Arabidopsis thaliana: one gene and its partner. The protein of the gene in region 1 interacts with the protein of each later gene in a pairwise test. Each region holds a gene or a part of one and is shown on either strand. Other genes may lie near its edges. The genes, in order: XCP2 and AT1G65150.

Region 1 (4,092 bases):
AATTTGCGGCTAAAAAATATTATAGATTTTGGAAGGAAATTACAAAGATTACTATACAATAATAACAATAAAACTACTATTTAAAACAAAAATTAAAAATTAAGAGACAGATGGGGTTTGATGCAATAGGAGACGAACATGGCGTCAATGAGAGGGCATGTGATTTATAATATTAGTGCTTTGTCACTTTCTCACGTACCTTTTTATGCCCTACCAATTACTTCTCCTCTACTAGTATTTTTTATATTAATTACAACACAATCAATTTTAGAAAAATGCAACATTGATAGCATATACGTATAGTTTTCTAATTCTGTGACAAGTTGATGATTTTCTTTTCTCAGCACAAGGCTATTTGAGAATATATAAAAATATCTAACGTCCTCTTCATATTTATTAACGCTGGAATGAGATTTTATGTGAAAAAAGAAAACTTTGGATAGATATTACATATGTACGAGTACGACCTAGAAAAATATGACAATGGTCTTTTTCTTGATAGAGTTCGTGCTCCCAAATCATTTGAGCATTTCCGACCACGTGGCTCCACCTCAAACGGATCTTATGATATGTTTTATTATCATTTTATTTTCATTCTTATATATTTTGTTGATTTTTTCCCTGCATAAGAAATAACAATCATTTATTTCTTTTTGTACAAGCAGTCAAGTAGATGTCCTGTAAAGTTAGAACCAGTGAGTTTTCAACTGTAACTTTAACATGATTCATGTTTTAAATGAATCCACTTTATGAAAAATATGGTGTTAATTTAGATCATACTTCGTAGTGGTTGGTGGGTCATCATTATAAAAATCAAGTTTTTACGTATTAGGTTCTTAAATTTTATATATCTTATTCAACAATTAGCTGATTAAAAACTAAGTAAAACGAAGATCCTTATCCTCCTGACATTGTTATCAGAAATCTTGGTGGATTGACAGGTCAAACTTTGTTCTTTACAGAATAAATATCTTATAAAAAAAAACAGAAATATACTTCACCGTAATCTCATGTTTTGTGAATTTTATATTGTCTCATTAAGAATTATGTTTAAACAATTTAGAACAGTGAACAAAAGAAGAGCTAATTATAATCAACTAAACTTCAACATTCATTCATACCATAAAAGGTTAGTGATTATGGGCCGCAAATCCATGATTTGTATATTGTTCAATTAAGATTGGTGATCAAAACATTTTTCATCAGTTAATTACATAGTTGGCCCACTTTTGGGCTTTCTTATTGTTGAGGTTGGCATTTTATCATTGAGGCCTTCCTTAAATGATTACCTCTGACCGAGACAGAGGTTTCTAGTTCTGCACATAATTAAACAAACCATATACCGCAGGGCCGGCTCAGAATAATAAAGGACCTAGAGCTGGAAAAAAAAATTAGTTCTCATTTTTGTGTTTTGTTATATATCAAAATTTTTGGACCCTAACTATAATAGATTTACTTTTAAAAAAAAAGAAATTTTGGGTAGACCCTGTGCCTCAGCTCCTCCAGCACATGTGTAAAGCCGGCCTGCATATACGATTAGTACTTGGAGTCAAAGTAACCTCATGGAAAGACAAAACTAAGCTTAAAGACACAGACTTTACACAAGTTACAGATTCAGACTACTTTACTCTAAAGCAAAAAGAGCGACCTCTATCGAGTCTCCAGCCTATATAAACAGGCTCTTCTCTTCCATTTCCTCTTATCAAGTGACAAAAGAAAAACAAACGTACTCAAATGGCTCTTTCTTCACCTTCAAGAATCCTCTGTTTTGCTCTTGCCTTATCCGCTGCTTCTCTCTCCCTCTCTTTCGCTTCTTCCCACGATTACTCCATCGTTGGATACTCCCCCGAGGATTTGGAATCTCATGACAAACTCATAGAACTCTTCGAAAACTGGATCTCAAATTTTGAGAAAGCTTATGAAACCGTTGAAGAGAAGTTTCTTAGGTTCGAAGTTTTCAAGGATAATCTAAAGCACATCGATGAGACTAACAAGAAAGGGAAAAGCTACTGGCTCGGGCTCAACGAGTTTGCGGATTTGAGCCATGAGGAGTTCAAGAAAATGTATTTAGGGCTCAAGACTGATATAGTGAGACGCGATGAAGAAAGATCTTACGCAGAGTTCGCTTACAGGGACGTCGAAGCTGTTCCTAAGTCTGTTGACTGGAGAAAGAAAGGAGCTGTGGCGGAAGTTAAGAACCAGGGCTCTTGTGGTAATATCAAATCTTGGTCTCTGATCTGTTAATGGAAGTTTTGACTCTTAACTAAACCATTTAACTTTAAAAAACTTGTTTCGCAGGAAGTTGTTGGGCGTTTTCGACAGTAGCAGCTGTCGAAGGTATAAACAAGATTGTGACAGGAAACTTGACAACATTGTCAGAACAAGAACTCATAGACTGTGACACGACCTACAACAATGGCTGCAACGGTGGTCTCATGGACTATGCCTTTGAGTACATTGTTAAGAACGGAGGTCTACGCAAGGAAGAAGATTATCCTTACTCTATGGAAGAAGGAACTTGCGAGATGCAAAAGGTCCCATTCTAATATCAACTCTTGGTCTCTGATGTGTTAATGAAAGGTGGTCCCATTCTAATTATCTCTGTTTTGAAAACAGGATGAATCTGAAACAGTAACCATTAATGGACACCAAGACGTACCTACTAATGATGAGAAGAGTCTCTTGAAGGCATTGGCTCATCAGCCTCTCAGTGTCGCCATTGATGCATCTGGTAGAGAGTTCCAGTTCTATAGCGGCGTAAGTACATTATAAACCTATAAATAAAGAAAATGGTTGTTAGTTAATTGCTCTTGTTGATGTTGAATCATTTTGTATTTGGTATATGAAGGGCGTGTTTGATGGGCGGTGCGGGGTTGATCTTGACCACGGTGTGGCTGCGGTTGGGTATGGATCAAGCAAGGGTTCAGATTACATCATTGTGAAGAATTCTTGGGGACCAAAATGGGGAGAAAAAGGTTACATCAGGCTGAAGAGGAACACTGGGAAACCAGAGGGTCTCTGTGGAATCAACAAGATGGCTTCTTTCCCCACCAAAACTAAGTGATCATCAGATCATTCTCTCTTATCTGCATTTGATCAGCATCTTACAGTGTCTTCGTTTTTTCTCTTTTGATTTATCAACGGAAGTCTTGTAACAACTATGTGCAATAATACCTATATATAAGAAGCAGAGAATTGACAAATTTCTAGTACCAACCATGAAGAAATTAAAGCAGAGAATATTAAAAATAATGATTATTGAAGAAAAGAACAGAGTATTAATTGAAGAAAAACAAAAAGTTTCTTGGGGAAGAAATAATTGAAAAAAACAGAGCAATCTTTAGATTGAACAGTTTACAGGTTAATAAGCAACTGAAAAAAACAGAGGAAATGTAGATTAAACAGCTTCTTGGGTAAGAAGCAATTGGAAAAAAATACCTCAAAGCAAAATGTAAACAAAATCTAGAAAAGATTAGCAGAAATATACAATTGTATGAACTTGAACTGATCATGTGTTCAATATGTCGAGATCATCATCGTGTCTGAAGCAAAGTGCTCACGGAGGATTGCCCGTCAACAATCTGTGGCTCATCTTCAGACTCAGCATTGTTATCTTGGTCATGCTCGTTCTCCTCTAACGATCTTCCCATAGTTTCCTTGGTGAAGAAATACGTCACCAAGATTCCAGCAATGCAAACGCCACCAAGAATCAAGAAAGCAATTCTCATACGGTTTACTTCGGGATAAATCTGGTTTTTATCATCGCTTTCCATCTTCTTGGTAGCCCACAAGAACCCAACAGTGCCCACAATAGCCCCAAGCTTACCCGCGGCACCAGAGATCCCGTGACAAGTAGACCTAAACCTAGCCGGGAAATGCTCTGCGGGAATAATAAAAGTTGTAGTGTTGGGACCAAAATTGCAAAAGAAGAAAACCAAACCGTAGAGAACCATGAAGCCTTTATTATTATGCTCGTGCTTTGACCAATACCAACTGTACGGAATACCAGCGACTAAATAAATAACGGCCATGAAGAAAAACCCCATAATCTGGATTTTGACACGACCTATCTTGTCGATGAAGTAAACTGTG
Region 2 (4,765 bases), about 17 Mb from region 1:
TACACACAAGTGTTCAATGAGCATCACAAAATGGTCTATTACTTCTGAAACTTAAGAGACAGAGCTGTGTTTTATCTACACACAAGTGTTCACTGAGCATAACAATCCGGATAGTGAATTTGGGCTAAAACATATACAAAATCTGTCCACAATAGTGTAACACCAACAAGGCATCAATCTGATTCCTATAAAGTTTTTGACTTCAGACTCAAGCACTTTTATGTCTATACATCAATCTGATTCCTATGCCATTGAAAAAGCTTTTCTATTTATTGCTCCCTTTGCATAACCTGCAATTCAAAGTAGGTGGAATTGAGAGAAAACACACATAATAAAAGCAAAACATGAGCAAGTACGCAGTCGAAAGGGCCTTACGTTTTCGAAAAACAGAATCTGTGGACGGATATTCTTTAAACAAATGCTGACAACATTCTCCCAGTCTCCAATAACCTGGAGAAGCGACATAGCCTCACTCAGGTAAAGAAGTCACAATTCCACATACAAAAATGTCTAAAAGACTAAAAGCTTTATACCTCTATCTCAGAACGAAGATATCTGACCCATCTATTGTTTTCATAAGCTACACAGTTGTATCGATTTCCATGCAAGCAAACCTGAATGTTAACATTGGAGTTGTTTCTGGTAACATAGTAAAGTTAAATGGAACTGAAACAAATTGTAGGTACTTGGCCCTTACCATTGAGACAAGACGGTACTTGGTATATCGAATGTCACCTTCGCATTGGTATATCACATTAACATCAATCTCAGTCGCCAGAACAGAAACTGTATCGAATATTTCTCCTGCAGTCTCATTCTTTGTCCACTCAAGTGCTAAACAATACGAGAGAAAAAAAATATGCTCAAAACTACTGCATTTTGTTGTGATCTCTACTAACAAATTAACTTAATAGCTTATACCATAGGCTTACCAATTGTGAAAACAGATGGAAGTTTGGTTATCATACGGTGAACATAGCTTTGTTTCCCACATCCTTCCTTATCACAAGGCATCTTTAAGTTCATCTTGATGACCTTAATGATATTCTCAAATGTAAAATCCTTGAATGCAGACTGCAAATAACCAAAACACTTTCACGAGACTGAATTCTACTTTCAATGTATAAGGGAAAAAAAGAGACTTGCCTTGACTTCTCTAAGTGAACTAGCACTGATGATAAGACGAAAAGAACGTTCAGCAGGATATTCCAAATCCAGTTTGCATCTATTGCAAATCTTTTTAGCCACTTCGTATACTTCAAAGTACAAACCCCAGTTAGGCAGAGCCTCCAAGATGTTTAGAAACAGGTCAAAAACACCATTTGCTTCCTAAAGCGTAGAGAACAAGAAAACATCAAGTCTTGAGAAAGAAGTAATTGGTAACATAGATTTTTTAAAGATCAGAGGTTAGACCAGAGGATGCTTGAGACTTAGATCGTTGAGAAGGAACTCATGAAAAACAGATTCATCTTCTCTGGAGCTTGCGAAAACGTTAATGTTCCATATAGACTGCACAAATCCACATTCTTGAAAACTTAAATAAACAAAATCGAGAAAAACAAATTCTTTAGGTTTGTGAAGTTTGCGAAACCTTGAGTATCATAGCAAGAGCTGAAACACAGGTGGCGTTTAGCTTCCCTATAGGTTCCTCTGCATCGTCTTGCGTTAGTGAGAGATCTCTAAACAAAAGATAAGCACCAAGTCGAAAATGTATGAGAAAAGCATAAATATATACTCGGAGGATGAGATTTAAACTACTTACGGATCTATTTCTTCGAGCTTCTCCACTTCTTGAACGTTTGATGGATCCATCTCAATGATCGAAGGCAAAACCTTCTTTCTTTGGCAGATTTTCCCAAGAAAAACAACAATGGAGATTTTCTTTCTGAGTTTTCTCGAGAAAATAAACGGCAGAGAAAGAAAATGGGAAAAGTTGAAGAGAAGACCAAAGGCGATTAGGCGAGGACTTAATAGGGTTAGAGTCTGTTAGTTTGTTTACGTGATCCTCACGTGATATATATTAAGAATTGTGCGCCAAAAATTGTTATGAAGCTTTAATCAACATTACATAGCTCTTCGAGTACATATTATCAAAATCTTAAAACACTTTTTTGGAGATTGAAACGTCAACGTTTTGAAGCAGAAGAAGCTAAAATAAAAAACGAGCCGGGCCAGTCTTGTAGCTTTAGGCCCGTTATATGAAAATAATATCTAAACCCTAGAAAATCTCTTCTTACTTGTTAGTGACGAAGAATCCCTTAAAAGCTCTCTCCTTTTTCAATCTCTCTCTTTGCTTCAAGGTGACGCAGAATTCCGTCAAGGCTCTTTCCATCTCCGTCAAGGTTCGTCGATTTCTTTCTTTAAGCTTTCAACTTCTTTAGTCTCTTAAGAGAATAAAGCACACAAATTTCTATAGATCTCTCTGTTGTTTGGGGAATTCTAAAAAAATCTTCTCTTGTGTAAGTTGTGTAGAGAAAATGGGTTCAAATGCGTCAGATCCTGCAGTGTTGAAGACTTGGAGAAGGAATCCTCCTTCCTCTACTCTTGTCAGACTTTCTCAGCTTGCTAACGAGAAATACGAGTCCCCTCCTTTCTCTTCTGGTGCACACAACTGGTATGTGATCTTGTTCTATACTTCAAGTTCTCATCTTTCTTCGCTAAAAAGTTCACATTTTTCTTCACTAAAGTTCTCATCTTTCTTTGCTAAAGTTCACATTTTTCTTCACTAAAGTTCCCATCTTTCTTCACTGTATACATATATAAGTAAGAAATGTTGTCCTTTTTGTAAAAATCAGGAGATTGGTTGTTCACCCAAAAGGAAACGAAGCGGACAATGGAAGTGGGTTTGTGTCTATGTATGTGGAATGCCTCTCATCGACAACACCACCCATTGATGTGTTTGCCTATCTCACTTTCTTTGTCTTCAGCGAGGAAGAGAAGAAGTACCTCTCTTTTCAAGGTTCGTATGCTCTTATCTCTCTCTTTCTCTGTGTATATATAAGAATGAAGCTCTAATATGTGTTTATACATGTAGATGTTGAAGTGAAGCGTTTCAATTCTTCAAAAACGGTTTGGGGATTGTCAAAAGCTCTTCCGGTTGAAACACTCAAAGACCGTGCAAAGGGATTTATCTTGTACGGTGAAGAACATGAGTTCGGTGCTCATGTGAAGATTGTTTCACGACCCGCCTCTTTTGGTGAAGATCTCCCTTTTCACAAATTCTCTTGGACTATTCGTGATTTCGCTCTTCTGGAACAGAATGATTACGTATCCAAAACCTTTCACATGGGAGAAAAGGATTGGTGAGTTTTTTCTTTCTGATAGATATTGTTGTATGTGTGCATTAGTGGTAACTTGCTAACAAGTGGATGGTTATGTTTCAAAGGACTCTAAAGTTGTATCCAAAGGGGGACTCTGAGGCAGATGACAAGTTAATTCAGCATTTGCATTTAGCTGACGGTGAAACTTTAGCCAAGGGTGAGCTGATTTTCGTGCGAGTAAACCTGAAGGTTCTAGACCCGCGTGGATCCAATCACCTAACAGGAAGCCGTAAGTCAAAAACTATTTGATGTTACTATTTGTCAATGGTTATTGTCAAAGCTGATGACATTTTCAATAGGCGTTCTTAATTTAAAATGTCAAATGTCCTACTCCTTTGACTATAAACTAGTGGTATTAAGTTTATAACTAATGTATTGCTTGTTTCTGTAGTTAACTGTTGGCTCATGAACTCGAACAAAGCGTGGGGTCTTCCTCAATCCATGTCTTTCGATAAAAATGAGGGGGCTTACTTGGATCGTGAAGGGACTTTGGAGGTAGAGATTGAATGTGAAATTAAAAACTCCCATAAAAACCATCCCTTCTTTTAGGATATCAACCATGTCAGGTCTACTACTCTAGAGTCTGGGACTACTCTGTTTTAAGCGTAAAAACTGAATGTGAAGTTAACGCTCTATCTATGTTTAGGATATCTATGTATCTACCATGCCATGTCTACTACTCTATGACTTACCTACTCTGTTTTTAGGATATCTAAATATCTACCATGCCATGTCTACTACTCTATGACTTACCTACTCTGTTTTTAGGATATCTAAATATCTACCATGCATGTCTTGACTATTGTATGTTTGTATGACTTTTGATGCGGTTGTGAATGATCGTAGTTTATTAAAGTTCTTGAAATATTTTTATGATTCAACATTTGCATTCTTTTCTTCTGTTAAGGTAACATCAAAGTTTTTAGAGATGTCACTCAGAAATCAAAAACCATTTTGAATACATTTATTGCTCTCCAGTCAAAAATCAACATCTTTCTCTCTTTATTCACTTTTTGGATCAAACCTACCTAAGCAAAGAAGCAAAGATCCTAGATCAATCCAGAATGTCTCAGCTAGTTACACTAGTCCTGTACTAAACAAGAATGCCATATCATTGTTGAAACCCCCCCAACTATAATGCCTCTCGTCCTCGTCAAAGCATGCAGCCCAATGATGGCAATTTTGAGTTTTATGCGTTTGTTAATGATCTTTTAAGTTATTAAATTTTAGGTTGTGTACATCTTCTACTAAAGCTTCATGTTTAAGAACTTTGCTTTGGTTTATAGGGCTCCCTTCTGCTTCTCTCATGTTCTTCCAACGTTAAAAGGATAGTATCTTTATACAAGTGTTGAACTTGATAAAATGGTATCCAAGTATCTACTATTCAATGATCATAACAATCAAAAGCATTGTTCTATACTTACTCCTATAAAGTTTTTGACTTC

Evidence for each region.
Region 2: the proteins of XCP2 (region 1) and AT1G65150 interact in a two-hybrid assay, tested with the Arabidopsis thaliana proteins (one large-scale study listed by BioGRID).

Annotation. Positions count from the first base shown.
Region 1 is NC_003070.9:7,250,474-7,254,565, forward strand, and holds XCP2 (xylem cysteine peptidase 2), read left to right. Parts: upstream 1-1,637; 5' UTR 1,638-1,734; coding exon 1,735-2,212; intron 2,213-2,298; coding exon 2,299-2,534; intron 2,535-2,616; coding exon 2,617-2,757; intron 2,758-2,848; coding exon 2,849-3,064; 3' UTR 3,065-3,274; downstream 3,275-4,092. Other genes in the region: PHT1;8 (phosphate transporter 1;8), read right to left, coding at 3,534-4,092. UniProt on the Arabidopsis thaliana protein: Cysteine protease involved in xylem tracheary element (TE) autolysis during xylogenesis in roots. Participates in micro autolysis within the intact central vacuole before mega autolysis is initiated by tonoplast implosion.
Region 2 is NC_003070.9:24,203,271-24,208,035, reverse strand, and holds AT1G65150 (TRAF-like family protein), read left to right. Parts: upstream 1-2,205; 5' UTR 2,206-2,342; intron 2,343-2,464; exon of another isoform or gene 2,465-2,472; 5' UTR 2,473-2,477; coding exon 2,478-2,614; intron 2,615-2,795; coding exon 2,796-2,959; intron 2,960-3,034; coding exon 3,035-3,302; intron 3,303-3,385; coding exon 3,386-3,549; intron 3,550-3,711; coding exon 3,712-3,869; 3' UTR 3,870-4,195; downstream 4,196-4,765. Other genes in the region: AT1G65165 (inactive ubiquitin carboxyl-terminal hydrolase-like protein), read right to left, coding at 270-290, 376-450, 534-614, 698-834, 933-1,026; AT1G65160 (ubiquitin carboxyl-terminal hydrolase family protein), read right to left, coding at 1,049-1,074, 1,143-1,329, 1,414-1,509, 1,592-1,679, 1,763-1,812.